Linked DNA regions of Macaca mulatta. The protein of the gene in region 3 interacts with the protein of the main gene of each other region in a pairwise test. Links are inferred from orthologs where the notes say so. Each region holds a gene or a part of one and is shown on either strand. Other genes may lie near its edges.

Region 1 (4,454 bases), on a different chromosome or scaffold from region 3:
CCCGCCTCGGCCTCCCAAAGTGCTGGGATTACAGGCGTGAGCCACCGCGCCCGGCGGAACAGCCTTATTTCAATGGCCTCTTTGGGGCCTGTTCTCTGAATGGCAGAAAGAGGGATACTTTCATAACCGCCACCAGGTCCCATTCCTCCTCTTCCCACGGCTCTCCAGGATTCCCACCTCACTCAGAGCAAAAGCACAAGTCTAAAGCCAGGTGCGGTGGCTCACACCTGTAATCCCTGCACTCTGGGAGGTAGAGGCGGGAGGATCACCCAACGTCAGGATTTCAAGATCAGCCTGGCCAATATAGTGAAACCCATCTCTACTAAACATACAAAAATTAGCCAGGCATGGTGGTACGCACCTGTAATCCCAGCTACACGAGAGGTTGAGGCAGGAGAATCGCTTGAACCCGGGAGGCGGAGGTTGCAGTGAGGCAAGATCACGTCACTGCATTCCAGCCTGGGCAACAGAGTGAGACTCCATCTCAAAAACAAACAGCTGGGCAAGGTGGCTCACGCCTGTAATCCCAGCACTTTGGGAGGCCGAGGCAGGTGGATCACCTGAGGTCGGGAGTTCAAGACCAGCCTGACCGACATGGAGAACTCTCGTCTCTACTAAAAATACAAAATTAGCCGGGCGTGGTAGCACGTGCCTGTAATCCCAGCTACTCGGGAGGCTGAGGCAGGAGAATCACTTGAACACGGGAGGCAGAGGATGTAGCGAGCTGGGATCGTGCCATTGCATTCCAGCCTGGGCAACAAGAGTGAAACTCCGTCTCAAAAGCAAACAAAAAACAAACCACCAGGTCCCATCCCTCCTCCTCCCACAGCCTTCCAGGGCTCCCACTTCACTCACCCAAAAACCCAAGTCCTCCCCATGGCCCACAAGTCCTTGCTGGACTGGCCTGCTTCACCAGCTACAGAGTTAGCAGGGCCCAGTGCAAAAGAAAACTGAAAGGCCCCTTGTTCAAAAATGATTAGGAATCTCAAAATGCAACACTAAATATTAACCCAAGCACAAGCCCTGCTGAGGAGGGGGGGGGGCCCGGGCAAATGCATGAAGCCCCAGGCCCTGCCTCCCTCCGGCCTTCCTGACCTCCGCCCTGGCACCCTGATGCCAGGCACAGTCCTGCCCCAGGGCCTTTACACCTGCTGGTCCTGCCTCTGAGTACCTCTGTACCCCATCCCCCTGTTCTCTCTCCTTCTTTGGGTCGTTTTAGGGGCGGAGGAAGCTCTCTCTGATCCTCCCTGCCACCTGTTTAACTTTGCATCTTCCTACCCTGCCATCCTCCCGGCTGGTTTTTCTGCAGAACGGTCCCCACCATCTGACCTGCTGGGAATTCAGCTTGTTAATTTGTCTCTGTCTGTCTCCAGGCACCACCACCAGAGCAGGGACCCCCCACCCCCGCCCCCACCACAGGGCCCTGGAGCAGCAGGCCCTGGCACACAGTAGGCGTTCTATAAATGTGTCGCAAGAATGGCTTCCCTGAGAAAGGCGGCATTACCGCTGCCTTTCTGCAGAAAAGGAAACTGAGGCTCAGCGAGAACCACCGCCCAGCCAGAGCCAAGGTCACAGAGCACGTCCGTGGCACGCGTCCAGGTCGTGCCACGGCAGGGCTGGCGGCTTCGACGCGGGCAGCCGGGTCCCTTTTCTTTGACAGATGGGGAAACCGAGGCCCGGCCTGCTGCCGGGTTGGGGGGGGTGGCGGGGGCCGCGGCCCGGGGCGGGGGCGGGCCGGGCCCAAGGTCACCGCGGCGGGCGGGCCCTGGGGAGGCGGGCCGGGGTGGGGATCCGCAGGCCTCCCCGGGCGCGCGCCTCCCCCCCCTCGGCGGCGCGCACGGGGCACGGGCGGCGGCGGCAGGTGGAGCCGGAGCCTCAGCATCAGCCGAGCCGCGGCCACTGCCGGCGTCGCCGCCATTAGACAATAGCGGTGGGGCCGGGGAGCGGGGAGGCGGGCGGCGGGGAGGGGCGGGGAGGGGCGCCGGGCGCGCAGGAAGCGGGGCCCGGGGCGCGCCGGGGCCGGGCGCGCGGGGAGGGGGCGCAGGAAGCGGGCGAGGCCGGGCGCGGGAGGCGGCGGCGGCCCCGGGAGCTGCCGATCGGCGCCGGGACAAAGGCGCGGCCGCCCGGCGCCCCCAGCAGCCCGAGCCGGGGCGCACAGCCGGGGCGCAGCCCGCGCCCCCTGCCGCGACTGACATGATGTTTCCACAAAGCAGGCATTCGGTAAGCGGGGTCCGTCCGGCAGGCGCCCCCACCCCGGATCCCGGCCCTGCGCTCCCCACCCCCGGCTCCCGGCCCCGCGCCCCCCACCCCCAGGCCCGGTGCCTCCGGCCCGGCACCCCCCCCAACTCCCCGGCCCTGTCTTCCCTCTCCAGCTCCAAGCCCGGCGCGACCCCCCTCCTGCCGCCGGCCCCCGGACACCCCCCAGTTCCCGATCCACCCCAGCTTCCGGGCCCCGAGCCCCCCCGTCCCAGCTCCCGGCTTGGCGCCCCCCCCCTCGCCGGGACAGGCAGGGCCTCGGACGGCCTTGGCCTCGGGCCTGGGGCGCTCCGGGAGCCCCGCCAGGCACCTCTAGCGCGGGGATCCTTTGGGGGCCTGTGGTGGGGGGGCGATCCGAGGCGCACCCCTCCCGGAAGAGCGCGTCCCCGAGGAAGGGCGCTGGGAATCTGGGGTGGGCCCCCCGGGAAGATTTCGGGCGCCGAGAGACCCCTCCCCCAAGAGGGCTTTGCTGGGAGGACTCGCTGCCCCCCAACTTGGGGAGGGGGCTCCCTAGGGTGCGTATCCACCCCCCTCGGATGTGCACTCCCTCCCGGCGCTTTGGAGGGGCGGTAGAGGGCGCACCCTGCCCCCCATCTAGGGCAGGCCTTAAAACGCACCCCCACTGCTTGGAGGTGGCGGGGGTCGGGGCGGCTCCGGGCGCACCCACCCCCTCGGCTTCCCCCGGGAGAGGCGGGGGGCAGGAAGCGCGGGTGGGGGCCGCGCCAGGGGCCGTAAACACGGGCCCAGGAAGTGGGGCAGGAGGGGGGGCGCCGCAGCTGCGCGGCCGCTCCCTCCCGGCTGGCCCTCGAGGGGGGTCCAGCCCAAGCCAGGGCCTGACCCGGGCCGCCCCTTCCCCACAGGGCTCTTCGCACCTACCCCAGCAACTCAAATTCACCACCTCGGACTCCTGCGACCGCATCAAAGACGAATTTCAGCTACTGCAAGCTCAGTATCACAGGTGAGCTGGGGGGCCGAGGGTCCCTGCGTCCCGAGAAGGTGAGCCCCCCACCCCATTTTTTCTGCGCAGATGGCAAGGCTGAGGCCTGGAGGGGAGATTGGGAAAATAATGTATGCTAGACTCTGACCTAATACTTGACAAATAGGGAATTCATTTTTTTTAAACAGCTGCATTCTGTGGAGGACAAAACTGAGGCACAAAATAAGTTAAATAATTTGCCCAAAGACCCAGCTGTGTGGCTTCAGAGCCCCTCCCTCCTACCCAATCCCCCCAAGTCCCCCCTTGGATAAAAGACAATTGGAGTTAGGGCACAGACTCGCCGTCCCCCCAACCCCCAAAACAAACATTTTGCAGCCTGGTCATCTCTCTTTGCCCAGTTTTGGAGAAAGGGTTCCCAGCATCAGTCAGATTCTCCCAGGTGCTTCTTTCAGAAATCTCCTGGCGTTTCTGAAGAGCTTGCCATGCTGTGGTATCTAAGGGGAAGGAACTATTTAGTCCTTTTACACTTAAAGAAATTTAATCCCAGGCCGGGTGCCACCGGTGGCTCACGCCTGTAACCCCAGCACTTTGGGAGGCTGAGGCGGGTGGATCACTTGAGGTCAGGAGTTCGAGACCAGCCTGGCCAACATGGCGAAACCCCGTCTCTACTAAAAATACAAAATTAGCCGGGTGTGGTGGCAGACGCCTGTAATCCCAGCTACTTGGGTGGCTGAGGCAGGAAACTTGCTTGAACCCGGGAGGCGGAGGTTGCAGTGAGCAGAGATCGAACCACCACACTCCAGCCTGGGTAACAGAGAGAGACTCGGTGTCCGAAAAAAAACAAAAAAAAATAAAGAAGAAGAAACTTAAGCCCAGAGAGGTTATTTCCTCGGGGATGTCCGTAGCGTTGAGGAAGTGGCAAGGCTGAGGTTTGCACCAGGTCTCTCTCCTGGTTTAAGGTTTAAGGATACAGATTTTCACCTGCCCTACTCTGGAGGGGCACGCCGGGCCTGGGAATCTGGAGGAAGTCAGGCTACGCTCAAACCCCCGTTTGGCCTTGGGGCCCTCTCCAAACTGAAGTGTGCCCACCCCAGAAATGTTCCTGGAAGGATCCTGGATTCCCTCCAAGTAGAAAGGGGAATCTCAATTTTGTTGTTGCTATTGCAAATATCCAACTTTTTTGGGTGCTCCCTGTGTGCTAAAGACCATACATGCCTTCTCAAGCTTCATCTTTCTTGTTGTCCGACTGTCGTACCCATTC
Region 2 (3,994 bases), on a different chromosome or scaffold from region 3:
CAGTATACAGCAGCAACAGTGGATTTACCTTGAAAAGTATCAAGTTAGTAAAAGTTGCAAACATAAATTCCCCCATATCAGTTTGAAAATAGATATTGATTTTATGTTTTCTGTAGAAATATGGCTAGGCGTGGTGGCTTACGCCTATAGTCCTAACATTTTGGGAGGCTGAGATGAGTGGATTGCTTGAGGCCAGGAGTTCAAGACCAGCCTGGCCAACGTGACGAAACCCCATCACTACTAAAAAATACAAAGCCGGGCGTGGCAGCGCATGCCTGTAGTCCCAGCTACTTGGGAGGCTGAGGCGTGAGAATCGCTTGAGCCTGGGAGGGGGAGGTTGCAGTGAGCCAGGATCATGCCACTGCACTCCAGCCTGTGCAACAGACTGAGACCCTGTCTCAAAAAAAAAAAAAGAAAGAAATACATTACATATAACTGTGACTACTTTGGTATTTAATTGGGATTATTTACAATTTTAAAGTTGTAACATTACAATCTTGCTACAATTTTGAATGTAAATAATTGTACCACTACAGTCACTAAGTTATCTTGAAGTATTTCATGGTTTTGCTCTGGCGAATTTTTCTATAGTATTCCCAAATAATGCCTATTACAGGATTTAAGGTATATAAAGTATAATAAAACATATAATTGGAACAAAACCATGGAACTTACCTTGCTGGCCTGTGAGAAAATGTAAGCTCTGGAAGTCTCTAAACTGCTCCATTTTATGGTGGTCAGGTGAACAGGTGCTGGAGGGAACCCACTGTAAGAGCAGTGTCCAAATGTCCCATTTTATTCTAAGGACAATGGAAGATACTTGCTTACCTATGAGAGAAACAGAATATGATAGGTTTACTAAGGAAAAGGCATTAAATGTAAACAGTGCGAAAGAGGCTATGGCAAGGGAAAGATAAGACATGGGAATGGAGAAAAGAGGTAGAAAGATTTTCTTGATTAAGTTGAAGAAAAACCAGCCAGCCCACCAGTACCCTCAAACCCATCCAGTTCGAATATATCCTCCCATCCCTGCTCCTCTGTGCTTCCCCACCCCAAACGCCACACCCAGAGAGTATTCTAAAACTTTTCATGGGTGCACAGTTCTTTGTTTTTGAAATAATATGCTTAATATCAAAACTATTTTCAATAGAACTCCTTTAATTTTTAATATGAACTCTTAAACACAGCTACCAAATTTTTTTTGCAAGGCTGTTCTCGGGGCTTGCTTTTTGTGTGAACTAGCGTGAGTGTGTTTCGAGTGAGTTTTTGAGGTATTGTTATTTGAGATGAACGGCTCTGACAACAGGGAGGCCTGCTGTGCCCACTCATTGTGTGCGTGTGTGCATGCAGGCTCCCACACCGCGCCACAGCACGCACCTTACAGTATGGGAGCCTGGATAATTAGATAAAGTCAGACCCCCAGATTTAGCTTGTGATAATTAGTGGGTACGTTTTCCTTAGGCACAGCTTCATCATAATTGCACATGCTTCAAAATCCTGCCAAGATACTTTCTTTTTTTCTCCCCACCCCTTTATGATTTTTTTTTTTTTTTTTTTGGTTTGTTTGGAGTAGTCATTCTTTTCTTTCATGCTCAGGAGAACTTCCAGTGGTGAATTCATCAGCTGGATCAAACTGCTGTACTTGTAACTGCCAGTCAACGTTGCAGGCCATTCTGCAAGAACTCAAGACCATGAGGAAATTAATGCAAATTCAAGCAGGTACAAGGATCAGGCCTCGGAATGAGTCCTTTGATTTTTAATGCATATCTGACATCTTCCATTGGAATGTTCATTGTGCTTTTATTAAAGCCTTCTTCTCACCTTGCTGTCTTGCTGTGCCTTTTCAAGTATCTGTTTTTTCAGCTTTCTCTACAATCCGTTTTTCCTTTAGCAAATCAAACATATTTTGTCTTGCAACTGATACAGCTCATATAATTATGTGTATGTACTCAATAGACTTCATTCCATGATCTCCTAGTATTTCACAAATGTCAGTTAATTAAATTTGGGAACAATTGTGTATGGAGGAGCCCTGGAGGAAGCATGGGCTTCAGTGTTCAAGGACTAAGCAGATAAGAAATGTGGAGCCCCAGGCTGTGCTTTGTGGCTTTTCTCTCCTGTTCAGGATGCGGAAGCTCAGAGATCCTCCTGTTCTGTCGTCTTTGTTTATGTTACTCCTTTTTGTTTTCACTGCCGTCAGGCAAGTTGAGGGATGGAAGAGCGGTGGATTTATAATTTGGGATTGGACGCCAATTTCTGCTCTTGATGCTGTGTGGCGTGTCTGAGCTTCCTGTTTCTTGTCTGTAAATGGAGAATTCATGTCGAACTCACAGGGCTGTTGTCAAAATAGAATGATGTAGTGGTTGTAAATGAACTTAATAAGGCATGGTACAAGCCTAAGCTGTTTCATTAGCGTGGCCTTTAAGTCCATGGAGCGTTCTATGGAAGTCTGGAAGTCTAGGTCTTCATTATAGCAGCTGTATTTTCTGATCTTCACAACTGAAGGAAAACAGAATTGTTTTTGTCACAGGTACAAGAAATAAATCATTGTATTAAGTTTTCCCTCTTGTCAAGGGACATCACCACTTGCTCTTAGCCATGTCGTGACTAGCTTTCCTGCCCTTTCCTCAGAATGGTAGTCCGGAAGGTCGTCACTCAGAGGCTGTTCAGGATGCCATTTAGTGAATTCTAGCATAATTTTAATATTCAGTGATGTGGTTTTGATATAAAAAGCTTAATACTTAGATTTATCAGTCACCCAAGATCACATTGAAGTAATGTGAGCTACTTTCTGAAAAACAGCATCTTTTTAAGCACTGAATTTGGTTTTACCCTAAGGAAGCATTTTGCTCAGGTCAGTAAGCGTTGGACTCACCTTGTTCCACTACGATAATCTGTGTTCTTATTAACCTGGCAGAGGTTAACATCTCCTAAATAAGGAGCTCAGAAAGAAAGGTTACTTCATGATGTTCGGTTTCTTTTCTCCAAGGAGGAATTTGTTCGCACTTAAGAAAATATGCATATGAAATTGTAATGATTTGTTTTGTCACTTAAGCTCCTTACTACTGAAATGGCAAACTACAAATTGCAACCATTTAAATCCTTGATGGAAGCCTTTTTAGAATCTATTAAGTAAATGCCACTTTGTCGCTGTGTTTTCTTTTCTGAACCTTTGCAGATTAGGGAGGTAAACGATTCCAAAGCTGTAGGATGGCACAAAGGATAAACTGAATAAATTACTCTCCTTTAATTTTCTTAAACTTAAAAATCTGTGTCGTGGGTAGATTTACTTAAGGTTTAATGCCTGAAGACTTAGATTTAAATTACATTTAGAAAGTTTCACCTTTCTTTTAAGAAGACAAGGAATAAGACCTAGAGGTGAGATCTGTATGCCAGAGACTCGGGCTGTGTCTAGATTTGCAAAAGAAGAAAAACTCAGATAGTCCCCATGTTCCTTAAACCAAAACATTTTCATTTTTAATTTAGAATCATGAGGCTCAGCGAGGCCTGGGGCCTAGGCCATCGTGATCATTCTTCGGGGTCCCTTTTATTCTGAGGGTACAGACCCAACCTTGAGGGGGAATGCAAATAGAGCAAAGAGAAGTTGCCAACTCTGGCTGCACAGCAGAATCACTGGAAGACCTTTCAGACAATGCTGGTTCCCAGGCGGCATGTCTGGAAGTGTCAGTTCATTTAGTTTGGGGTGGGGCTGAGGCATTTCAGTTTTTTTGTTTATTTTTGTTTTTGTTTTAAGACGGAGTCTCGCTCTGTCGCCAGGCTGGAGTGCAGTGGCGCGATCTCGGCTCACTGCAACCTCCACCTCCCAGGTTCAAGTGATTCTCCTGCCTCAGCCTCTCGAGTAGCTGAGGCTACAGGTACCCACCACCACGCCCAGCTAATTTTTGTGTTTTTAGTAGAGACGGGGTTTCACCATGTTGGCCAGGATGGTGTCGATCTCTCGACCTCGTGATCCGCCCGCCTTGGCCTCCCAAAG
Region 3 (3,994 bases):
CCTACTGTTTGAATGGTACAGAACCTCTGCCTACTGGATAAATGCCACACCCTCACTCAATTTTTTTGTTTTTTTGAGACAGTCTTGCTCTGTCGCCTAGGCTGGAGTGCAGTGGCTCAATCTCTGCTCACCGCAACCTCTACCTCCCTGGTTTAAGCAATTCTCCTGCCTCAGCTTCCCAAGTAGCTGGGATTACAGGCGTGTGCCAGTGTGCCCGGCTAATTTTTGTATTTTTAGTAGAGACGGGGTTTCACCATGTTGGTCAGGCTGGTCTCGAACTCCTGACCTTGTGATCTGCCCACCTCGGCCTCCCAAAGTGATGGCATGACAATTTTTTTTGTGTGCGTGATGGAGTTTCCCTCTTCCACCCAGGCTACAGTGCAGTGGCATGATCTGGGCTCACTGCCACCTCCGCCCCCGGGTTCAAGTGATTCTCCTGCCTCAGCCTCCCAAGTAGCTGGGATTACAGGTGCCTGCCACCATACCTGGCTAATTTTTGTATTTTTAGTAGAGACGGGGATTCACCATGTTGGTCAGGCTGGTCTTGGAACTTCTGACCTCATGATCCGCCTGCCTCAGCCTCCCAAAGTATTAGGATTACAGGCGTGAGCCACTGTGCCTAGCTGCCTCACTCAATCTTAATCCTGCCCCAGGGACCTGGTTCCTGTTTCAGAACATCCTCTTCCCCACATGGTACCACACCGTGGAGGTGACAGCCCACCTCGCTGTCATGGGCCTGCGGCTCTGAAGGATGGCTTTGCCCGTCCCGCTCTGCCCCTCAAGTGGAAGCCAAGCTGGGCTCAGAATCTGTAGAGTGAGGCCCCACCAAGGCAAATGACACCCCACAGCCCGAGTGCCAGGTGCAGTCCCGCCACTCAGCTGCCTGCCTTTGCTCCTGCCCTCTCCCACCCTCAAAGAGGTCTCGAGGTAAGAATGAGAGCCTTGGAGAGAGCTTCTATTTCTTCCTGCGGCTTTTCCTTGAGAACCTAGCAGCGGCGGCTTGCCCAGGCCAGGCTGTTTTTTTTCTGAACGTGGGCATCAGGGATGGGATCCCCCAACTTCAATCTCTTACCTCTTTTCCTCAGCACCCTGACCATGGCCAGAGACTGAACACTCTCTATTTATGGTCTGGGTCCCCAGAGACAGGATGAAAGGCCCGTAGGCCAAAGAGCAAGGGAAAAGCGACAGGACAGGACCACGAGGAGAGTTGCGCCAGTAGGACAGCACCTGGGAACCTCTGCCTGGGGGCTGACCCCGCCTGCTCCCAGGGGCGCAGCCCACCGCTCCCGGGCCCACGCCAGCCTGGCTGCACTGGGACAGTACTTACTTTTCTTCCCAAACTGTTTCTTTTTCTTCTTTGTGGCCTCTTTGGCCTTCAGCGGTGTGGCCGGTTCTGTTGGTGAAAGACAAGGGTGAAAGAGATGAGACGAGGGTCCCTGGGAGGACACAGGGCACAGGCGCATCCCGAGACCCTGTCCACCCTCCCACACAGGACACCCCAAGATAGAAGGCCAAAGCTTGGCAATGAGGAGAGGGGGGGCTGGAGAACACACAGGACACCCCAAGATAGAAGGCCAAAGCTTGGCAATGAGGAGAGGGGGGGCTGGAGAACAGCTGTCCCTTCTTCCCACCCTTGTCACCACGGCTGCTCAGAGGGACCTGGGTAGTTTACCTGGGTGCACAAGGGCAAGAACATATGACAGAGTGGGCAAGATGAAGGAAGGAGCTCTGCAGGCCAGAGAGGAAGGGAGCCAGAGAAGCCAGGAGCAGGGGCTGGGTGACGGGGCTCACTCTCTACTTAGAGTGGTCCATGAGATGTCTCCATCTCATGCCAAAGAACTGAGATGGGCACAGGGGCCGGGGAAGAAGGAGAAAAGAAGAGGAAAGTCGGAGTCTCTTAGGGTCATGAGAGCCCAGACCTGCGGCCACAGGAGGCTGGAGCTGGTAGCCGGTGAGCTCACACCAGCCAACGGGGTAGATGTCCGGGGACTCGCAGTCCACCCACTGGTCGTACTCGCTGTCCCAGCCATCAAAGTGGATGCTGAGGAGCCGATGCACCACTCGCTTCACCGTGGCCACACAGATGAGCCGGGGCTCCATCAGGTCCACGGCCTCCAGCTTCATGCCCACCTTGAAGCCATGGTTTGGGCAATCCTGGGGCAGAAAAAGGAGGCAGTGGCCAAGCCAGTCAGCTCCCTACCCCAGCAGGCTCGCCCGGGCCTGGAGGCACTTGAAGAACTGGCAGGGAGGAGGCTGGGACTGGAACGCCTGCTGGGGCAAGTTCCTCTAGACAATAATCCCACTGCACCTCTTTCTCCACACTGCCCTCCATGGAAGAGGGACTGGAGTGCCCAGGCCAGAGCTGGGGACTTCCCCCCAAAAGTGGCTGGTGTTAGAAGCAGAGACTCGAGAGAAAGGGGAGGAACTGCCACCGCTGGGAGCAGCAGGCAGGGCCTGTCCTGAGGCCCCCGCAGGCCCCTTGCTCCGCTTGAGTCTCCTCACCATGTTAAAGAGTCTTGATGGGGCGGCTTTCGACTTGGTCTTCTCCAAGTAGTTCTCCCAGCTGAAGGTCTGTACCTCATAACCTGGAGGAGCAGACAGCTCAGATGCAGAGGGAGAGGGGAAGCAGGAAGTGGGCAGGGGGAAAGGACACATGGCTGAAGGAGCTCTGCAGCTTGCTCAGGACCCAGCCTGGAGTCTCCCCAGCAGCCTTCTCAACCCCTCAGGGTGGCACCTGCTCTAGCACCACAGTCCTGTTGTATAGGTTGTTTGCTGACCAACGGGATACATGGGAGCTCTGTTCATCAACAATACACTGGCCACGGGGCAGGGTCAGCCCAGCAGTTAAGGGCTGGTGGCGGGCTCTGTCACCTTTCCCATACACCCTGAAATGCTACACTTTGGGGCCTGACTTGACCAGGAATCTGGACTTGTGGCCCCACCCTGCCCCTTCTGTTTTGTTTTGTTTTTAAAACAGAGTCTCGCTCTGTCACCCAGGCTGGAGTGCAGTGGCATGATCTTGACTCACTGCAACCTCCACCTCCTGGGTTCAAGCAATTCTCTTGCCTCAGCCTCCCTAGTGGCTGTAATGGATTACAGGCACCTGCCACCATGCCTGGCTAATTTTGTATTTTTAGTAGAGATGAGGTTTTGCCATGTTGGCCAGGCTGGTCTCAAACTCCTGACCTCAGGTCATCCACCTGCCTCAGCCTCCCAAAGTGCTGGGATTACAGGTAGGAGCCACCGCGCCTGGACACCCTGCCCCTTCTGATGTCAAGGCCAGCACGTGGTGGCCTCTCTAGTCTTACCTTTTGGGGGTGTGAGCTCAATGTCATTCTTCTGACAGAAGGTGGCCGGGAAGATGGCATGGGAAGAGGCGTGGTAGCAGAACCAGTCCGAGCCATCTGTGGAGGGCCCCCCGTCCACACAGATCATCAGGTATCCATCCAGGAGAACCTGGGGGGTGGGGGTAGCAGGCAGACAGATCATATCATGAACTGCACCCCATCCTGGGTTGGCACCGCACCCCAACAGGGACACGAGGCAGATGGATCCAAACAGATCTAGGGCACAGCCCTCCTGGAGGACACCTGAGCCTCCCTGGGGCACACAGCACTTCTGTGATGCGTCCACGTGGGATTCTTTCTCTTCCCCACTACACAGCAAACGCCACGCCAGCAGGGGCCGCATCCATCCTGCTGGACCGTGTTCTCGGGTGAGCACACGCGCCTGGCATGGAGCGGATCCGCGGCGTGGACGAGTCAGCAGCCTCCTCCAGGAAGGCCATGCAGGGGCGGGGGGTGCTGCTCAGGCTGAGGCGATGAGGAAGTTTGGAGCAAGGTGACCCCCGCTGTGGCTCTTGCCTAGGCCAGCACTCAAAGGAGATGGCACACAGCAAGAAGGCCCCAGGGAGGTGACAGGGAAGGGCCCACCCTGACACAGGACCCGGCTCAGGTGTTGAAGAAGCCCTCGTCCAGTGAGCCTTGGACCCTGA
Region 4 (3,994 bases), on a different chromosome or scaffold from region 3:
GGGGGCAGCGGAGCCCTCTCCACAGAACAGGGCGGGTGCAGGGCTCCACCGCACCCACTGTCCTACACTGCTTTGGTACGTACATCATGGTAGGATTCATGGGACCAGATCCAGGGGTTTAGGTGGGAATGTGGGGAGAGGTCCCAGTCACTTTTCTCTGCTGGTGGGTGAGTCACCGGGAAGCTTCTCAGATGGCTGCCACCCTGACAGCCACATGCCCTCTGGGCCAAGCCCGCCCAGCTGGCTGTGCCATGTGTTCCCTGCCCCACTCCCAGGTGGCGGCAACATGCCACCACCCTCCACACACCCCAAATGCCATGTCTCTGCCACAAGCTTCTGTCCTCGTTTCTGGAGGGGCCAGGCCCTCCCTGCCACCCTGTACTGCAAGACCTGTTCGTGGTCTCTGCCCCCAAAGGCAGGGACTTCTTCCATTGTTTCCACACTCCCAGCCCTCCTGCAGGCTTGTGGGACACGGTAAAGACATTGGGTCACAGCACCAGAGACTGGCTGCTTCGGCCAATTAAAACAAAGGAGCACTGGCTGGCAGGTTCGAGGGCTCCTTCTACGGAGCTGGCACCAGGGTCTCCGCAGGGATCCGGATGATGGGAGGCAAATGAGCATTCCTCACCCTTCAACCTCAACTGTATGTTGAGGAGAGAGGCTCCCCCAAGCCCATCCTGGGAAGGAGCCCAGGAGTGTGAGCTGACTGGTGGGTGGGGAGTCAGGGATGGCTGTGGGCCTTGCCCTCTCCTGAAGGGTCTGCCCTTGAGTGCTGGGCCACTGAGAGGCGGTTCACACCCTTGCCTTCATCTGCTGAGGATACTCCCACGGAGTGCTGTACTTTCTGTGGCAGGAGCTTGTGATCCAGCCATACACCCTGTTTCTCCTTCCTTCTAGGTCCGAGCTATACCTGTGGACATTGGTTTCTCAATTGAAGAGCTGGAGGACCTTTACATGGTGTTTAAGGTGACAGCTCAGAGCCAGGGCAGGACCCCTTCCTAGCTTCCTAGCTTCCTGCCAGAAAAGAAATAGATCCAACAGTATCCTCTTAGAAACAGAGGATAGAGGCCGGGCGCGGTGGCTCAAGCCTGTCATCCCAGCACTTTGGGAGGCCGAGACGGGCGGATCACGAGGTCAGGAGATCGAGACCATCCTGGCTTCCTGGCTAACACGGTGAAACCCCGTCTCTACTAAAAAAATACAAAAAAACTAGCCGGGCGAGGTGGCGGCGCCTGTAGTCCCAGCTACTCGGGAGGCTGAGGCAGGAGAATGGCGTGAACCCGGGAGGCGGAGCTTGCAGTGAGCTGAGATCCGGCCACTGCACTCCAGCCTGGGTGACAGAGCGAGACTCCGTCTCAAAAAAAAAAAAAAAAAAAAAAAAGAAATAGAGGATAGAAATAGAAATAGGGAATAGAATAGAAATAGAGAAATAGATCTAAGTGCATCCTCAGATGCAGTTGCCATGAACCTCATGTGGTAGAATCGAATCCTTCTTGGAGTTTAGGCAGGACCTCTTAAATGGCAAAAAATCCATTCAAGTCATCTTTCACAGAAGAGGGAATGCGTTGCCCCTGTAACTGAAAAGTCTATCAATGCAAACTTCAGACATGGCTGGATCCAGGTGCTCAAATGTGCCGTCAGGCTCCCCCACCTCTGATGTCCTCTGCACTGCTTTTCCTACAGTGCCAGGACTGTTGTCACAGCTCCAGGGCCATACTCTCTTCTCAGTAACTCCAGTGCGAAGATAATTTTTCTTGCTCTTGTGCTTTTAGCAAGAGACCCAGCCTTGATAGTTGGAATGACTGCCTTTCTGTTCTTGTTACCAGTTCACATCCACCTCTCCAGCTGCCTCAGGTTCTGTGCTCAAGGTGGCCACTGGACTGTGGCCCTGGTGTCACAACGGTTGAGCCAGCTCTGCCTGCCTCCTAGAGAGGTCACAGGAGCGAGAGCAAGCCTCGGGCCTCTTGTTTCCCTGGAGCCCTGCCAGGAAGGCTCAGCCCTTCTCTGGGGCCAGCAGACCAGCTCTGCCCTCTGCAGGCTGCCAAGGACTCTGTCAGCCAACCCCCTCCCCATCTGTTAACAGGGGACTGATGATACCCTGAGAGCTTTCAGGAGGTGCTGCGGTGTCTGGCCAGTGCTCACCAACCCAGGGCTCCGCAGGCTTGGATGGAGGGGGAGGGTGGACACATCACCAGCCTAGGGGTCCCCTCCACCCACAGGCTTAGCGGCTGGGCCATCTCACCAGACTGTGTCCCACAGGCCAAGCACCTGGCGAGCCAGTACTGGGGGAGCAGCCACACAGTGGCCGGCCGTCGGGACCCCAGCCTGCCCTACCTGGAGCAGTACCGGATTGATGCCAGCCAGTTCCGGGAACTCTTTGCCAGCCTGACACCCTGGGCCTGCGGCTCCCACACGCCTGTGCTGGCAGGTCGCATGTTCAGGCTCCTGGACAAAAACAAGGACTCGCTGATCAACTTCAAGGAGTTCGTGATGGGGATGAGTGAGTGCCTGCAGGGCCTACCAGGGGCCGACCCTCCCTTACCCTTTCCCAGGAAGCCTTCCAAATGCCAGCATCTCCTGTCTGTCCCCACTGCAGCCAGGAGGGGGCTGCTTGTGCCTCTAGCCCTAGATACGGGAAGAACAGTTTACCCACAGGAGCCGAGAGGGGGTCCAGCAGGAGCCTTGCCCGCTCCCCTCCCACATGCAGTCTGGGGCTGCTAGAAGCTGGTCTGCCAGCCCCAGGGAAGGGCTGAGCCTTCCCAGCAGGGCACCAGGGAGACAGGAGGCCTGGGACTCACCCCGTGACCTCTCCAGGAGGGAGATGGGCAGCGCAGGCTGTGAAGAGGGTCCCACTCGTACCCCGTGGAAGGGGCTCTGCAGCCATCTTGCCAGCCCCAGCCCCTTCCCTGGCCTTCTCCACAGGCGGGATGTACCACGGGGACCTGACAGAGAAGCTCAAGGTGCTCTACAAGCTACACCTTCCCCCAGGTGAGAGCCTCCTGCCCACTCCCCAGCCAGGATCTCCCACTTGTCCGGAAGTTCAGCTGCAGAGGATAGGCCTCTGTGGGACTGTGGGGCCTTAAGGGGGCACAGCAGCTCCACAGGCTGGAGTTTCACATTGGAGGAGAGGGAACGGGAGCTTGAGCACCTGACAGAGGTCTAAGAGCAGGGCCTTGGCCTGGGAAAGGACATGGAGGAGAATCCCACGGGTGACCGGGCACCACTGGGAACAGAACTCCCACCGAGGAGGCAGCTGGACCCAAACCCCACGAGGAGGGCCATGAGTGGAGCTTCAGGGCTGGAACCAAAACTGCTGCATTAATTTGTCAAGTTTCTTAAGGGTTTATTCCCAGAGGTTCAGCTGGAGAATCCTCACATGGCCATGAGGAGGGGCCACTTCTCTCCGGCCTCGCAGCGGTGCTGGAGCCGAGTAGGGCTGCATTGGCGACAGGCTGTCTGGGGGCTCAGCAGGGGTGGCTGCATGGACAGTGCTCCAAGGAGGGGTCATCTCCGTCATCATAGAAAGAAAGAAGGGCGAGGCAGGTGGAAATCCTGGGCCAGGCGCTCTGCTCTGGCTGGACCTGCCCCCAGGTCCCTGCTGTCGCTTGCCATCTGAGGTCAGCAGCTGCCCTCAGAACCAACCCTGGGGATTTTTAGAGTACTGGGGCTGGGCTTCACCTGAGAAGATTCTCTCCTGATTGCCTGTGATGGGGCCCAGACCTGTGATTTTTAAAGCTGACAGGCCATTGCTCTGTGCCTCCGGGGCCGAAAGGCTCTTGACACAGCTGTTCTCGTTTGTGGCTGGCTCACCACAGAGGCTCTGGTGGGACAGACCCCACTGGGCCTAGGTCCCAGGGTTGAGAGCATGCAGGGCTACCCTGAGACTCCTGAGCCCCCTCAGCCTGCCCTGCCCTGTCCTGTCCAGACACAGAGAACACTTGGGCTCTGGTGGGCTGCGGCCCATGCCCTGCCACAGTCACCCAGGACCATGTGA
Region 5 (4,469 bases), on a different chromosome or scaffold from region 3:
GACATTACTATAACTCTTAACATTGAAAAGCAGTAAAAGGAATGTTAATAAAAGTATTTGCCCGGTAATGTTCAGAACACAAGCTTTAAATTCATGAGGAAACCAGAAGTTTGATTAAGCACTCATACTGCTTTCTTTTCCCTTCTTAGCAATAATTATTGGCCCTGATGGTCATCCTTTGACTGTCTATCCTTGCATGATTTGTGGGAAGAAGTTTAAGTCGAGAGGTTTTTTGAAAAGACACATGAAAAACCATCCCGAACACCTTGCCAAGAAGAAGTACCACTGTACTGACTGTGATTACACTACCAACAAGAAGATAAGTTTACATAACCACCTGGAGAGCCACAAGCTGACCAGCAAGGCAGAGAAGGCCATTCAATGTGATGAGTGTGGGAAGCATTTTTCTCATGCGGGGGCTTTGTTTACTCACAAAATGGTGCACAAGGAAAAAGGGGCCAACAAAATGCACAAGTGTAAATTCTGTGAATATGAGACAGCTGAACAGGGGTTATTGAATCGCCACCTCTTGGCAGTCCACAGCAAGAACTTTCCTCATATTTGTGTGGAGTGTGGTAAAGGTTTCCGACACCCATCGGAACTCAAAAAGCACATGCGAATCCATACAGGGGAGAAGCCATACCAATGCCAGTACTGCGAATATAGGTCTGCAGACTCTTCCAACTTGAAAACACATATAAAAACAAAGCATAGTAAAGAGATGCCATTCAAGTGTGATATTTGTCTTCTGACTTTCTCAGATACCAAAGAAGTGCAGCAGCATACTCTTGTCCACCAAGAAAACAAAACACACCAGTGTTTGCATTGTGACCACAAGAGTTCAAACTCAAGTGATTTGAAACGACACGTAATTTCAGTTCATACAAAAGACTATCCTCATAAGTGTGAGATGTGCGAGAAAGGCTTTCACAGGCCTTCAGAACTCAAGAAGCATGTGGCTGTCCACAAAGGTAAAAAAATGCACCAATGTAGACATTGTGACTTTAAGATTGCAGACCCATTTGTTCTAAGTCGCCATATTCTCTCAGTTCACACAAAGGATCTTCCATTTAGGTGTAAGAGATGTAGAAAGGGATTTAGGCAACAAAATGAGCTTAAAAAGCATATGAAGACACACAGTGGCAGGAAAGTATATCAGTGTGAGTACTGTGAGTATAGCACTACGGATGCCTCAGGCTTTAAACGGCACGTCATTTCCATTCATACAAAAGACTATCCTCATCGGTGTGAGTACTGCAAGAAAGGCTTCCGAAGACCTTCAGAGAAGAACCAGCACATAATGCGACATCATAAAGAAGTTGGCCTGCCCTAACATTGTGTCTACAAGCTTGTAAAGATGTTGGCCTTGAAGCAGAAAATTCGTTTTTTAAAGCCAGTCTTGTTCACATCCATTACTATACATTGAATTATGCTGTGTAAAAATAGAATTATCGCTTCTAGTCCACTTTTCTTTACATTTTATTCAATAGGGTGTCCTGAATCCTATTCAGTTTCTTTAATAGATGAGAAAAATAGCAACAAGCAAGTTGCTTATAATTTGTGATTCTATACTGAATTTTCAGTCTTAAAAGCTTTACTATTTATTTACATATTTATTCATGTTGATGGTACTCTTCTAAGACAAAATCAGATTGATAACTACAAAAGTAACATTTTTGACCCATTTCTTCCTACACAAACGTTTCACATTGGAGACATCTGCTAACATAAATGGGAGATTTTACTGTCAAGTCCAGTTAGCAAAACATAATAATTTTTTTGTCTTGCTTAATATTACATGATGATGAAATTTTACATTTGAGCTTCTAGCATTGATTAATATAGGATATTGACTACATTTATGTTTAAATTTCATTTTGTTCAGCAGACAAAATGTACTTCCTTTAATTTTCATTAATAGTGTTTACATCTTTTGTCAGCACAGCAAACTTTTAAAAAGTATTATTGAAAAGTTTTACTTATTTTTGTCTTTTGTTTTCTCTTTGTACTGCTTTGTCTTGCATTGTATTCCAACACCCGAGACTTACTGCATACTGACTTTTAGTCTTTTAGAGGTAAATTGTGGACTCAGGATTTTTTGAAACTTGGTGTGTAACTCTAAATCTTGTATATGCATCTTTGTTGCTTATTACATATTTACACACACAAGCACAAATTTTAAACTTATGAAAATTTACAGTAACCTGGAAGATCCAGGGATGCATGAGAGCATTTCATAACTTACTATTCAGAGTTACTAAATTTGAGGTGAAGAATTGAAAAGAAGGACATTAGGAAGAGTGAAAATCTTCTAATACTCTTTGATAGATAAAAATGGAAGGTAAGATGTTTCTAGATAGAATGTTTTCTTACAATTTCAGCTTCATATCATAAATTTTTCCTGGAAAGCTATTTCAGACATAGGTTTCTTAGTTTTTGAGAATCCTGTGAAGGAACTCTTGTCTCACTGCAAAGTAAAGAGGACTAAGGGAAAGTGGTGGTACCATGTAACAGAATGAGAGCTAATTCCAAATTAGCAACTTTATCCTGCTTTTTATTTTACACTGAGTAAAGTTTTAAAAAGACAACAGTTAAGTTGATTTTGATTAGAAGATAAACATACGTAATGAAAATCCGTGGCCTTATTTGGAACATATATCACTTTCCAAATTTTATTGTTTGAGAGTTAATAAGTTATTAAGCAGTTAATAACATGTATGGATATAATATAAAATGAATTCATATAATTAAAAAGAATTTGGTTAATAAGAATTTTGGAGAATGGAAAATGCATTTTTAGGTTCCTTAATTTGGCTGTTGGTACCTATGTATTTGGAATATTTTCAGGGATTAGAATTTTTTTTAAACCACATTACAGCTACCTTCTGGCTTTAGTATGGTGGTGCTTCATTCAACTTACGCTGTCAGGTTTTTATTTTCTCCTTCTGGGCCACCAATTCAAAAGTTACAGGATTAGGAAATATAAATATTTGGTGATTGACAGCCTCTGACATGTTAGATTAATTTGATCTAGTTCTGAAGTGGTTTAGTAATACATGAATTTAAACCTAGTACCAACCAAAACCATATAATGGATTTTGAAAATCTGTTAGGACTTCTTAGCCCTCATACATGTTTCTACCTGATTGTTACTGTCCTTCATTATCTTGTTCTTGATAACTTCAGTTTGTATTTGAGAATCCTTTAAATCTCCTTCCAATTTGTTTTCTCCCTGAAGTAATATAAAAGGAAGTATTTAAGTGAAAGTTTAAGAGTTTTAAAGCACTCCTTAAAATTAATAGTTAGCTATTTATATTTTAAAAATAAACAGAAAGGTAAAGAACAACACTTTACATACTTCATGTTTTTCATATAGTCTGGAGTTATACACAGTTGTTTTGTTTTTAACCACAGTATTGAAACCTTTAAAAGGTAATTAAGCATTTGGTCAAGTAAATATGATAGAACGTTTGTATAAAGACAGAAACGAAATTGTGCTTAATGTTATATACTGTTATTATTTGCAGGCTGGTTTTAATTCTTAATTTGATTAGCAAAGCTAAAAAAGTGGATGTTGAAGTTGAAAGTTTTAAAGAGGTACAAAATCTTACAATGACATAAATTATTGTTTGGTTGAAAAATAGTGTATTAAATATCGTATGTCCCTTCCACTGTACAAATTGTAAAATACTTAAAATACTATGGAGAATTCATGTAGGAAGTGTGATACTGTTGTAAATGTGTACTTGAGAATAATATGCAAAAATAAAAATAATATTTTGCTGTTAATAAATGTTTACTTGTATATGATACCAATACTAAGTTAACTCTTTTTCTTTAAAACATGCAGTTTTAAGTCTTAATAAACATAAAACATAGTGGACTATTTTTATTTCCCCACTTAGTTCATTCTGTACATAAGTGGAACACAAAATGCTTTTTATGTAAATATTGGTAACCTTATGAATTTACAAGTAGTATTTCAGAGTACTTGTGCTAATTGAAGAGTCCTTTGCTCAATGTGTTTTTGAAAATCAATTTTTTGTTTTATCTTAATGAAAGATTGTTTGGTTAGCATCTCCACTTGCTGAAATAAATTTTCCTTGCATAGAGCTTTTTTTTTCTTTTTTTTCTTTTGGTTTTTTGTTTTTGTTTTAACAACAAAGCCTCACTCATTTGCCCAGGCTCAAGTGCAGTGGTTTGTGATCTCAACTCACTGCAACCTTGAACTCTCGGGCTCAAGCAGTCCTCCCACCTCAGCCTACATAGTAGCTGGGACTATAGGCATCTACTGTCGTGCCTGGCTAATTTTTTATTTTTTATAGAGATGGGGTTGGGTCTCATTATGTTGCCCACGGTGGTCTCAAACCCCTGGGCTCAAGGAGTCCTCCTGCCTCAGCCTCCCAAAATGGTGCAGTTATAGGCATAGGCCAGTGCACTAGGCCTTAAGTGATTTTTGAGGGCAGTAA
Region 6 (3,994 bases), on a different chromosome or scaffold from region 3:
TGTTCTTAATCATTTTAGGTTTTGTACTTTTTAAATTATCTTTCTTTGCAAAAGATGACAGAGGCATTCAAAAAGAATTTTTGGCTTATTTATTTAAAAAAAGTCAACCTTATACATAAATATAATAAAAACAAGAACTCTAAACAATCACAAATGTCTCTACAAAATAATAAATATCATGGAAGTTAAACATACATATAAAACTTTACTATTAAACTAATTTCCTGTATGTATATTTTTATACCCTGCTCCCCCCAACAATAGGATAGTGTCACATGCTCAAACCATTTAAGTCTTGCAGTGTAGTTACCCTCTGTTGTTACTGCTACATTCTAATCATAAGGTTCTCATTGTGTGTTCCTATACCTAAATAAAAAACAGCTAGGAAGTGCACTTCTATAATCCAAATTCTGGTTCAGTTTTGTAATCATATCTGTACCTGCCATAATATACAGCAGAATGCTATCTCTTAATCCATCAAAACTAAGAAATCTCTTTTGGTTATGGTACCTGTACTAAATGTAAAAGATATACTTATTTAATACTCATAGTTTAAGTTAGATACTGGCATAGTAAATACTCTAATATCTTTCACTAAAGTCAGGGAAGTAACCAAACAATATTAAATTCTAAAAACAGAACTCCTCATAGGAGATTCTTTACAAAACAAAAGCCAAAAGGAATAAAACACAAGGGTAGTCATTCACATTCTAGAGCAATTCAAGTTCTACAATCATTAAAATATACATTAAACACCTATGATAAAGGGACACCAAAAAATTCTAGGTTTATTTCTAAGTTTAAATCATAATGCTTTGTTAAATCACTTAGTTTTTCTTACCCAACAGTCTTCATCTTGAGGAAAACAGGGCAACATGAGAGAAGGGGAAGAGAGACAGCTTTGTAGCATTTTCTGTGATGAATGCTGCAGCTCAATATACAAAGCATCTGCCCTCTCTAAGAAGCCACAGTGCTGGCATCCAGGACTTCACACAGCAGATAACAACCGTGGCTTAGAGAAGCCAGTCTCAGTGGATTGCACAGTTGAGGGAGGGGTTAATGTGCAGCACTCTCCCCAAGGCCAATGGAACACACTCCCATGTGTGTCTGGTTGAGACAATCAGTTCTACTTCAAATAACTGCAACATCATCAGTTTCACTACTGACAAGAAAATTGAAATACTCATCCTAATAGCTCTCAGCATCTCAAATAAAAGGCTCACAGTACACTTACTTTTCTACTTGAAAAACAGCCAAAGATAAGACTTTCATGGTAGCAATAATATAGTATAGATTTTAATTATATATTTATAGGCTGGAATCCTAATAATTATGCTTTAAATTTCAGGTTAATGTAACCTAAACAATACGGTCCTACGAATTAAGGGCAAGCACTAGTGAATCTTATTAAGCAACCCGACAGATACATTACTTTCTTGAATCTCATATTTTATATATATATATAAATATATATATAAAACATGACCTTTAGCTTGAAGTACCCTAATATTTAGGCACATCTTGGTTTATTAATACTTTTTATAAAGAGGTTAACTTTTAATAAACCTGTTCACATTAATGTATGACTAGATACTGGTTGTTCCCATCTTTGAAATACCTGAAACATTTTTAGGTACTAAAAATGTTCACAGATTATGTAAAATATAAATTTTGCATATCCTACTTGAGTACTATTAGGTTCAGTTAATCTATATGATTTCTTGTATAGTAAATCAATGATAGTGTTAAATAGTTCATTTCCAGCCTGTATTAAAACATCTATTTCAATATTCTCTCTTTTTAACCCATGATCAATCAAGCTTACTGTTGGAAAGATCTACTTAGCACTCAAGAGTTAACAGGACACTGTGCTTTGAGCGGCCACTTCCATTTAAAGCTCTTAGCAGACCAGTAGAACACACTCATTCATGTACACTGTTTCTGAAATTTCATCTTTGGAGCTCACTTGCTTTCAGTTATTAAGCATTAGTTTATATATTTAAAGAAATTAGATAAGCTTTATATGTAAAAACAAGTACAAAAATCACATAGCTGCAGCCTATTGCAGCCACCCTTGGAAGCCAACCCTTGCTCAATTAAGCTTAAAATTTGCTTGCTACAGGCTACCAAAAAAAAAAAAAAATTTAAGTTATTTACATAAAAGCATTTTCTAATAAAACATGAAATACACTAATAGGTCACTTTTTTTACTTGAAGAAAGGTAAATGAACATGTTAGAACGTGTTCTAGTTAGTTTGACGGAAAGGTGACTAACTTCAGCCTGTTCTTGTGAATTATTTATCACAATCACAGTTCTGACATACAAGGTGTTTAACAATTTCACTTGGCAAAACTTCCTCATCAGCTTACTCTAAAATTTTCCTTCAATACACCTTCATAAGTGCAATAAAAGCATGTTCTAATACATTTCAGACCAAAGAATCAAAAGGTAGTATATTTTACTACCACCATCCCAAATATGAAACTGTACAGCTAATTCTTCCTTTTATGATATTCTTAAATCCCTATATGCAAATAAGGCTACACACCTCTCACCTCACCTTTTCTTCAAAAGAAAAGGGAGGGGCAGACAGAGGGAGGAAACGTTCAAAATATAATAATAGTTGCTGACAACCTACAACTTTACTCTGAGGATAATCAGATCAACAAGTTAACAAGTATGTTTTAATTCTTGTCATAGAATCATATAGGCTCTTTACCAAGGTTATGCTAAAAATCACACAATGTAAATAACAGGTTTTATTATTTTCTATCCCAGAGTTAGCTAAATTTAGCATATGGATCAAGTAATCCTTAGATTAAACCCAGATCTTTCTTAATGAAAGGCACTAAAAAATGCAACTTAGTCTAACAGTATACCCACTCATACTTCAGCTCAGCAGCTTTAGCTACACTAAATGCTGGGGCATTTAAAATGCCAAATAATTATGATCTTTACTCCAAGGAAAGAAAATATAAACTTCTGCCTATGAAATAATGTTTTAAAAACCCATACTTGCCTGGTTATTATTTCAAAGAAAAAAAAAGACTTATAAATTGTACATATACAGAAAACAGAAGCTAAACCATAGCCAAAAGTGACAGAAAAGCCACCAAGGAAATAAAGCACAAAAGAAAGCAGCAGACAGAGGGCACACCATAGAAGAACAGCTAGTGAAGTACAGCAGGCAGAAGCTCCACAATCGTGAAAGTCAAGTGAAAACATTTCAGGGAGAGAGGCTGGTCAGTAAAGAAGCTGAGTCAGGGGCTTTTTTCTTCTACCTTGTACCCAGGAACTGACTTGGACAGTACAGAACGTTTGGGACCATCTTTTCTTGGAGTGGCAGCTTTGTCTTTTGATTTCTGTCTTCCCTGGAAAGAGTCCTCCTGGCTGTCAGGAGCGCTTTCTCCTTCAGATACATTGCCAGAGGAGCTGTCCTGGAGTTTAAAAGGCAAAAACAAAGATTCTTTGGAATTGAGTCTGGATTTTGAAAACTATGGAAAATACTCAAAAAAAGTTTTAAAGCCTTATCAATTTAAAAATAAAAAGATCATTCTAAATGTAAGAAAGTTTTTTCCAGTGGAGACTAAAGTAACTTATGTTAAAAATCATTCATCTTTCTTCTAAGTATGATATGGTATAAAACTGATTGCATTCATATCAGTGCCTTCATCAACTTTGTTTTCTGACCTAAGTCACAAAAATGCAATTATCCGCTTCAGCTACTATTATACGGCACACAGCTTCAACATCATTTTCCATGTCACAAGGGAACATATTTGTTTCACACAAAAATATATTGTTACAAATAAGTGTGGGTATTTTCACTGAGTACTAAAAGTCATTAAGAAGGTCCTTCAGGAAAAATGAAGTGCTGCAGTTAAAAAAAAAAAAAAAAAAAAATTCCTTCGAGTACACATTTGTGTTTTCATAATGTTAAACCATGCAGAGCCAATCCCTCAACTATCTACAACAGGATGTGAAAGATTGCAT
Region 7 (4,558 bases), on a different chromosome or scaffold from region 3:
CTCTTAAAACAGGGAACAAGTCAAGGATGTTTAATGTTATCATTTTTATTTAACAGACTACTGGAAGTCTGCACAATAAGGAAGAAAAAGAAAAAGAAGCCAGCTTAGAAAGAAAAAAAAAAACGCCCCATTTGCAGATGAAATTATCTATGTAAAAAATTCCAAGGAATCTATACAAAACCCCCCTAAAATTAGTAAGGAAGTTCAGCAAGATGGCAGGTTACAAGATCCGCACACGAAACCAGTTATTCAGAATGCAGCACAGAGGGACAAAAAGATAGAAAATATAGACGGTAGGTTAAAAATAAAGGTTTCTTATGTTCGAGTTCCAGAAAGAGAGAGAATATGAGACAGGCATCTGAAGAAAAATGACTGCGATTTCCCAAAACTGGTGGAAGATACCAACCCACAGATTATAGAAATCCAAAGACTTCCAAGCAAGAAACAAAACAAAAAGAAAAAATATCCCACTTAGACTTATGATAGCGAAATTGCAGAAGAGTGAAAGATGGAGAGCTGAGGAGGGAGAAATCAACAGGGGCCAAGTGAAAACAACGTCTACACCTTGGACTTAACGATAAAAGCGAATTCGTACTTGCAGAGTCATTGGCACCTGCCAAACCCCTTACACACATTAGCTGATTTACTCCTCACAGCAACTGTATTAAGTAGATTCTATCACTGCTTTCATTTTACAGATGAGGGAGTTGAGATTTGGTTATTTACCCAAAGGGGCACACTTTATCGATGTAGCGATAGGATTTTGAACAAGGTAGTTCTCGCTCCAGTTTTGTGCCCTTAACCACTACACATACTTGTTTCTCCAAAGGGCAATGGGAAAATGGGAAGCCACTGAAAGGCTTTAAACAGGGGAGTGATAACATTTGTTTCTGGAAGATTCCGGCACCACTGTGGATAGTGGATTAAATGGGGCTAAAGGTGGAAATAAAGAAGCTGTTGGAATAACGTAGCCCCAAACAGGGAGGGCCTGAATGAACTAAGAAGGTGGCAAAAGGCGCAGGCACAAGCAAATGGATTCGCGAGCTCTTCCGGAGTCGAATCCACAGGGCTTGACCTGGTATCGCGTTTTACTCCGGGTGCAGAGTGAGGAAAACCGGGTTTCTGACGCAGGCAATTGCGGTGGATAGTGAAAGTCATTCACTGAAGTGGACTGAGGCGGGACGCACAGGAGACTCGGAGGCCTGAGGACGAGCTAGGCTTTGGACACGGTAGATTTGTGGCGTCTGTAAAGCCCGCGGCCAGCCGAGGGGCAGGAAACGGCGTAAAGGGCAGAGCAGAAGCCGACTCTCTGGACCTCTCCGAGAAGGATCGTCCAGAGTCCCGGCCGCAGAGCACCTCTGCGCGGCGCTGCACGCGTCTCCGGAAGCCGCGCGCGCAGGCGCAGTGCGGGGGGCGCCCCCTGGCGGCGCAGGGACCGCCCCCAACCTCGCGCCGCCGCCGCCCGCCTCAGCCCAACATGGCGATGCACAACAAGGCGGCGCCGCCGCAGATCCCGGACACCCGGCGGGAGCTGGCGGAGCTCGTGAAGCGGAAGCAGGAGTTGGCGGTGAGGGGCTAGGACCGGGGTTGCCCGGCATGGGGCTCCGCGCCCGCCCCGCCTCCAGGCCCCAAGCCCGGCTGCGCCAGGCCGTTCGTTACTCCGGGGGCGCGGCGCGGCGGGCTGTGTGCTCGGCGGCCTGAGGCCGGGTGCGCATTCTGCGGCCCGCCGGCGGTTCAGCTTCCCGGCTGTGCGAATCCGGAGCCGGGAGGGAGCTGGGAGCGCGGGAGGGGGAGGGGCAGCGGCAGCCGCAGGAGGGGGCGTGGAGGGAGGACGGTGCCGGGGCTCGGGACTCGGGGAGAGGGCGCTAGGAAGGGCGAGGCGGGCGAGTCCGTGATCTTTGCGGGGTGGGGGTGGGGTAGGAGGCTAGTGTGGGAGGGGGACCGAGTCACCCTGTCTGGACTTTGGAGGATGGTGGGGAGCGTGTTCTTTTTGGTACTAGTAGTAGATCCGTTGAATGGAGGCTTTTGATAGACAGGGTTGTGATGTGTTTGGGAATATCTAGAAGGTGACAGGCGAGGGAGAAGAACACATTCTGGAGAATTCGGAATTGTGACAGGCACCCAAGGCCCAATGCACCCTGGTGGCTAAGCTCTTCCTGCCCTCACGTCTCGGCTTGGGCACCCCGGAGGCCCCTCTCACCTGAAGCTGCCCTTCCAGGTTTCCATAGCAACTGGCAGCCCGGTGCCGGCGGCCTCTCTGAGCCTGCGGGGAGGGGAGCGAGTTGACGCTGAAAGGCTGCTCACCCTTCCCTCTCCTGGTAGCGATACCTTTTGTGCGTGGGAGTGGATATCGCACAAGTTCTGCGTTAGCCTGGGTTCTTGACTCCTGGTTTCCGTGAATCCTCTAAAGTATATGCAAAATTTCGCGTGTGTGTGTATTTTTCTGGGGACATGCTTTATACATTCAGAGGTCCATCACACCCAAAGGTCTAGACTGTCTTAGTCCTAAACGGCTGCTCCTCCCCATATCATCCATCTCTCCACAGGGTGATTTAGTGTGGACAAGCTTGCGTTTACAAATCTAATATCAGGATTTCATTTTGGTCAGACTTAAGTGTTTGCATTTAAAAGGCATTATTCATGTCCTTGTTTTTCATCTCTCAGGAAACACTGGCAAACTTGGAGCGACAGATCTATGCTTTTGAGGGAAGCTACCTGGAAGACACTCAGATGTATGGCAATATTATTCGTGGCTGGGATCGGTATCTGACCAACCAAAAGTGAGTGTCGAAAGCCTGTAGTGTTCCTATTGTGTTCCTATTGTGTGTGTTTGTAGGACTGTAGGCTCTTAGTAGCAAGTTTGCTAGAGGCAGTAGTAAAGTGGTGGTGTGGTCTGGACTTGAACTCTTGGACTCTGGCTCAGGCACTGCCTCACTGAATAATCTTAGACAAAGCTCACATCTGTAAAATAGCAAAAGTTGGGCCTTTGGCACAGGGTTGTGTGAGGCTTAAATACAGCATATAACAATATCTTTATACAACATCACTCTATTAAATTTTTTACACATTTTAATCAGTCGTGAGTTCTACCCTCACAGTATTTTTCTTTTCTTTTTTTCTTTTTCCTCCTGAGTAGCTGGGATTACAGGCGCATGCCACCATGGCTGGCTAATTTTTTTATTTTTAGTAGAGACGAGGTTTCTCCATGTTGGCCCAGCTGGTCTTGAACTCCTGACCTCAGGTGATCTGCTGCCTTGGCCTCCCAAAGTGCTGGGATTATAGGTGTGAGCCACCATGCCTGGCCACTTTTCTTTTTTCTAAGAGACAGGGTCTCATGCTGTTGTCCAGGCTGGAGTGCAGTAGCACAATCTTAGCTCACTGCAGCCTCAAACTCCCGGGCTGAAATGATCCTCCCACCTCAGCCTCTCAATTAGCTGGGACTACAGGCACACAATACTGCACCTGACTAATTAAAAACATTTTTTTTTTTTGTAGAAGTGGGGTCTCACTTTGTTGCCCAGGCAGGCCTGGAACTCCTGGTTTCAAGCAGTCCTCCTGCCTCAGGTTCTCAAAGTGTTGGAATTAAAGGGGTGAGCCACCACGCCCAACTGACCCTCACAATTTTTGCCATACCTGTGTGCCAGCTGTACCACTGCTTGCTTAGTAATATTTTTAAAAAATTTCTAAACTTTTGGATTATCTTCAAGTTATAGAAAAATGGGAAGAATAGTATATGAACACTTGATACTGTCCTACCTGTATTCAGATTGTTAATGTGTTGTGACATTTGCTTTCTCTTACTCTCTATAATATTAATATAAGCACACACCTATATTTACATTTCACGTTTTTAAATTGTGAAATAATTATAGATTCATAGGGAGTTGGCAGAATGGTCTTTTGTAGTCTTCATCTAGTTTTCCCCAATAGGTGTTTTTTTTTTTTTTTTTTTTTTTTTTTTTTGAGACGGAGTCTCACGCTGTTTCCCAGGCTGGAGTGCAGTGGCGCGATCTCGGCTCACTGCAAGCTCCGCCTCCCGGGTTCCCGCCATTCTCCTGCCTCAGCCTCCTGAGTAGCTGGGACTACAGGCACCCGCCACCGCGCCTGGCTAATTTTTTGTATTTTTAGTAGAGACGGGGTTTCACTGTGGTCTCGATCTCCTGACCTTGTGATCCGCCCGCCTCGGCCTCCCAAAGTGCTGGGATTACAGGCTTGAGCCACCGCGCCCGGCCAATAGGTGTGTTTTATATAACTCTAATACAGTATCAAAGCCAGGAAATTGACGTTGGTACAATGTATATATATAGTTCTATGTCACTTTATCTTGTGTGTAGATTCATGTGACCACAATCAAGTTACTTCAGGAACTATTCCATTACCACAAAGATCTTCCTCATGCCACTCCTTTGTAGTTATATCTCCCTGTCCCCCTACCTTTTTTTCCTACTTAACTGTTTGAAAGTTAGATGCAGATATACTGACACTTTGCACTTAAATGTGTCAATAATTATCTCCTGAGTATAAGGACATTTCTCCTACCTAACCAGTTATTATACCT

The links.
Region 1: the proteins of L3MBTL2 (region 3) and TLE5 interact in binary tests that used the Homo sapiens proteins (3 or more experiments, as listed by UniProt). The two-hybrid records come from large-scale screens. The link is inferred for Macaca mulatta from reciprocal best matches to the Homo sapiens genes L3MBTL2 and TLE5.
Region 2: the proteins of L3MBTL2 (region 3) and BEND7 interact in binary tests that used the Homo sapiens proteins (3 or more experiments, as listed by UniProt). The two-hybrid records come from large-scale screens. The link is inferred for Macaca mulatta from reciprocal best matches to the Homo sapiens genes L3MBTL2 and BEND7.
Region 4: the proteins of L3MBTL2 (region 3) and TBC1D9B interact in binary tests that used the Homo sapiens proteins (3 or more experiments, as listed by UniProt). The two-hybrid records come from large-scale screens. The link is inferred for Macaca mulatta from reciprocal best matches to the Homo sapiens genes L3MBTL2 and TBC1D9B.
Region 5: the proteins of L3MBTL2 (region 3) and ZFY interact in binary tests that used the Homo sapiens proteins (3 or more experiments, as listed by UniProt). The two-hybrid records come from large-scale screens. The link is inferred for Macaca mulatta from reciprocal best matches to the Homo sapiens genes L3MBTL2 and ZFY.
Region 6: the proteins of L3MBTL2 (region 3) and PHF10 interact in binary tests that used the Homo sapiens proteins (3 or more experiments, as listed by UniProt). The two-hybrid records come from large-scale screens. The link is inferred for Macaca mulatta from reciprocal best matches to the Homo sapiens genes L3MBTL2 and PHF10.
Region 7: the proteins of L3MBTL2 (region 3) and MEAF6 interact in binary tests that used the Homo sapiens proteins (3 or more experiments, as listed by UniProt). The two-hybrid records come from large-scale screens. The link is inferred for Macaca mulatta from reciprocal best matches to the Homo sapiens genes L3MBTL2 and MEAF6.

The regions. Positions count from the first base shown.
Region 1 is NC_133424.1:3,854,806-3,859,259, reverse strand, and holds the start of TLE5 (TLE family member 5), read left to right. Parts: upstream 1-1,266; 5' UTR 1,267-1,463; coding exon 1,464-1,691; intron 1,692-1,877; exon of another isoform or gene 1,878-2,193; coding exon of another isoform or gene 2,194-2,220; intron 2,221-2,464; exon of another isoform or gene 2,465-2,771; intron 2,772-3,116; coding exon 3,117-3,214; intron 3,215-4,454. UniProt on the Homo sapiens protein: Transcriptional corepressor. Acts as a dominant repressor towards other family members. Inhibits NF-kappa-B-regulated gene expression. May be required for the initiation and maintenance of the differentiated state.
Region 2 is NC_133414.1:15,038,708-15,042,701, reverse strand, and holds part of BEND7 (BEN domain-containing protein 7), read left to right. Parts: intron 1-1,596; coding exon 1,597-1,719; intron 1,720-3,994.
Region 3 is NC_133415.1:10,283,751-10,287,744, forward strand, and holds part of L3MBTL2 (lethal(3)malignant brain tumor-like protein 2), read right to left. Parts: intron 3,457-3,994; coding exon 3,309-3,456; intron 2,586-3,308; coding exon 2,503-2,585; intron 2,155-2,502; coding exon 1,920-2,154; exon of another isoform or gene 1,853-1,919; intron 1,437-1,852; exon of another isoform or gene 1,394-1,436; coding exon 1,328-1,393; intron 1-1,327. UniProt on the Homo sapiens protein: Putative Polycomb group (PcG) protein. PcG proteins maintain the transcriptionally repressive state of genes, probably via a modification of chromatin, rendering it heritably changed in its expressibility.
Region 4 is NC_133411.1:188,875,175-188,879,168, reverse strand, and holds part of TBC1D9B (TBC1 domain family member 9B), read left to right. Parts: intron 1-897; coding exon 898-966; intron 967-2,259; coding exon 2,260-2,500; intron 2,501-2,814; coding exon 2,815-2,988; intron 2,989-3,994. UniProt on the Homo sapiens protein: May act as a GTPase-activating protein for Rab family protein(s).
Region 5 is NC_133427.1:2,558,471-2,562,939, forward strand, and holds the end of ZFY (zinc finger Y-chromosomal protein), read left to right. Parts: intron 1-149; coding exon 150-1,333; 3' UTR 1,334-3,793; downstream 3,794-4,469. UniProt on the Homo sapiens protein: Probable transcriptional activator. Binds to the consensus sequence 5'-AGGCCY-3'.
Region 6 is NC_133409.1:2,320,174-2,324,167, reverse strand, and holds part of PHF10 (PHD finger protein 10), read right to left. Parts: intron 3,439-3,994; coding exon 3,283-3,438; intron 1-3,282. UniProt on the Homo sapiens protein: Involved in transcription activity regulation by chromatin remodeling. Belongs to the neural progenitors-specific chromatin remodeling complex (npBAF complex) and is required for the proliferation of neural progenitors.
Region 7 is NC_133406.1:203,284,078-203,288,635, forward strand, and holds the start of MEAF6 (chromatin modification-related protein MEAF6), read left to right. Parts: upstream 1-1,456; 5' UTR 1,457-1,477; coding exon 1,478-1,567; intron 1,568-2,664; coding exon 2,665-2,780; intron 2,781-4,558.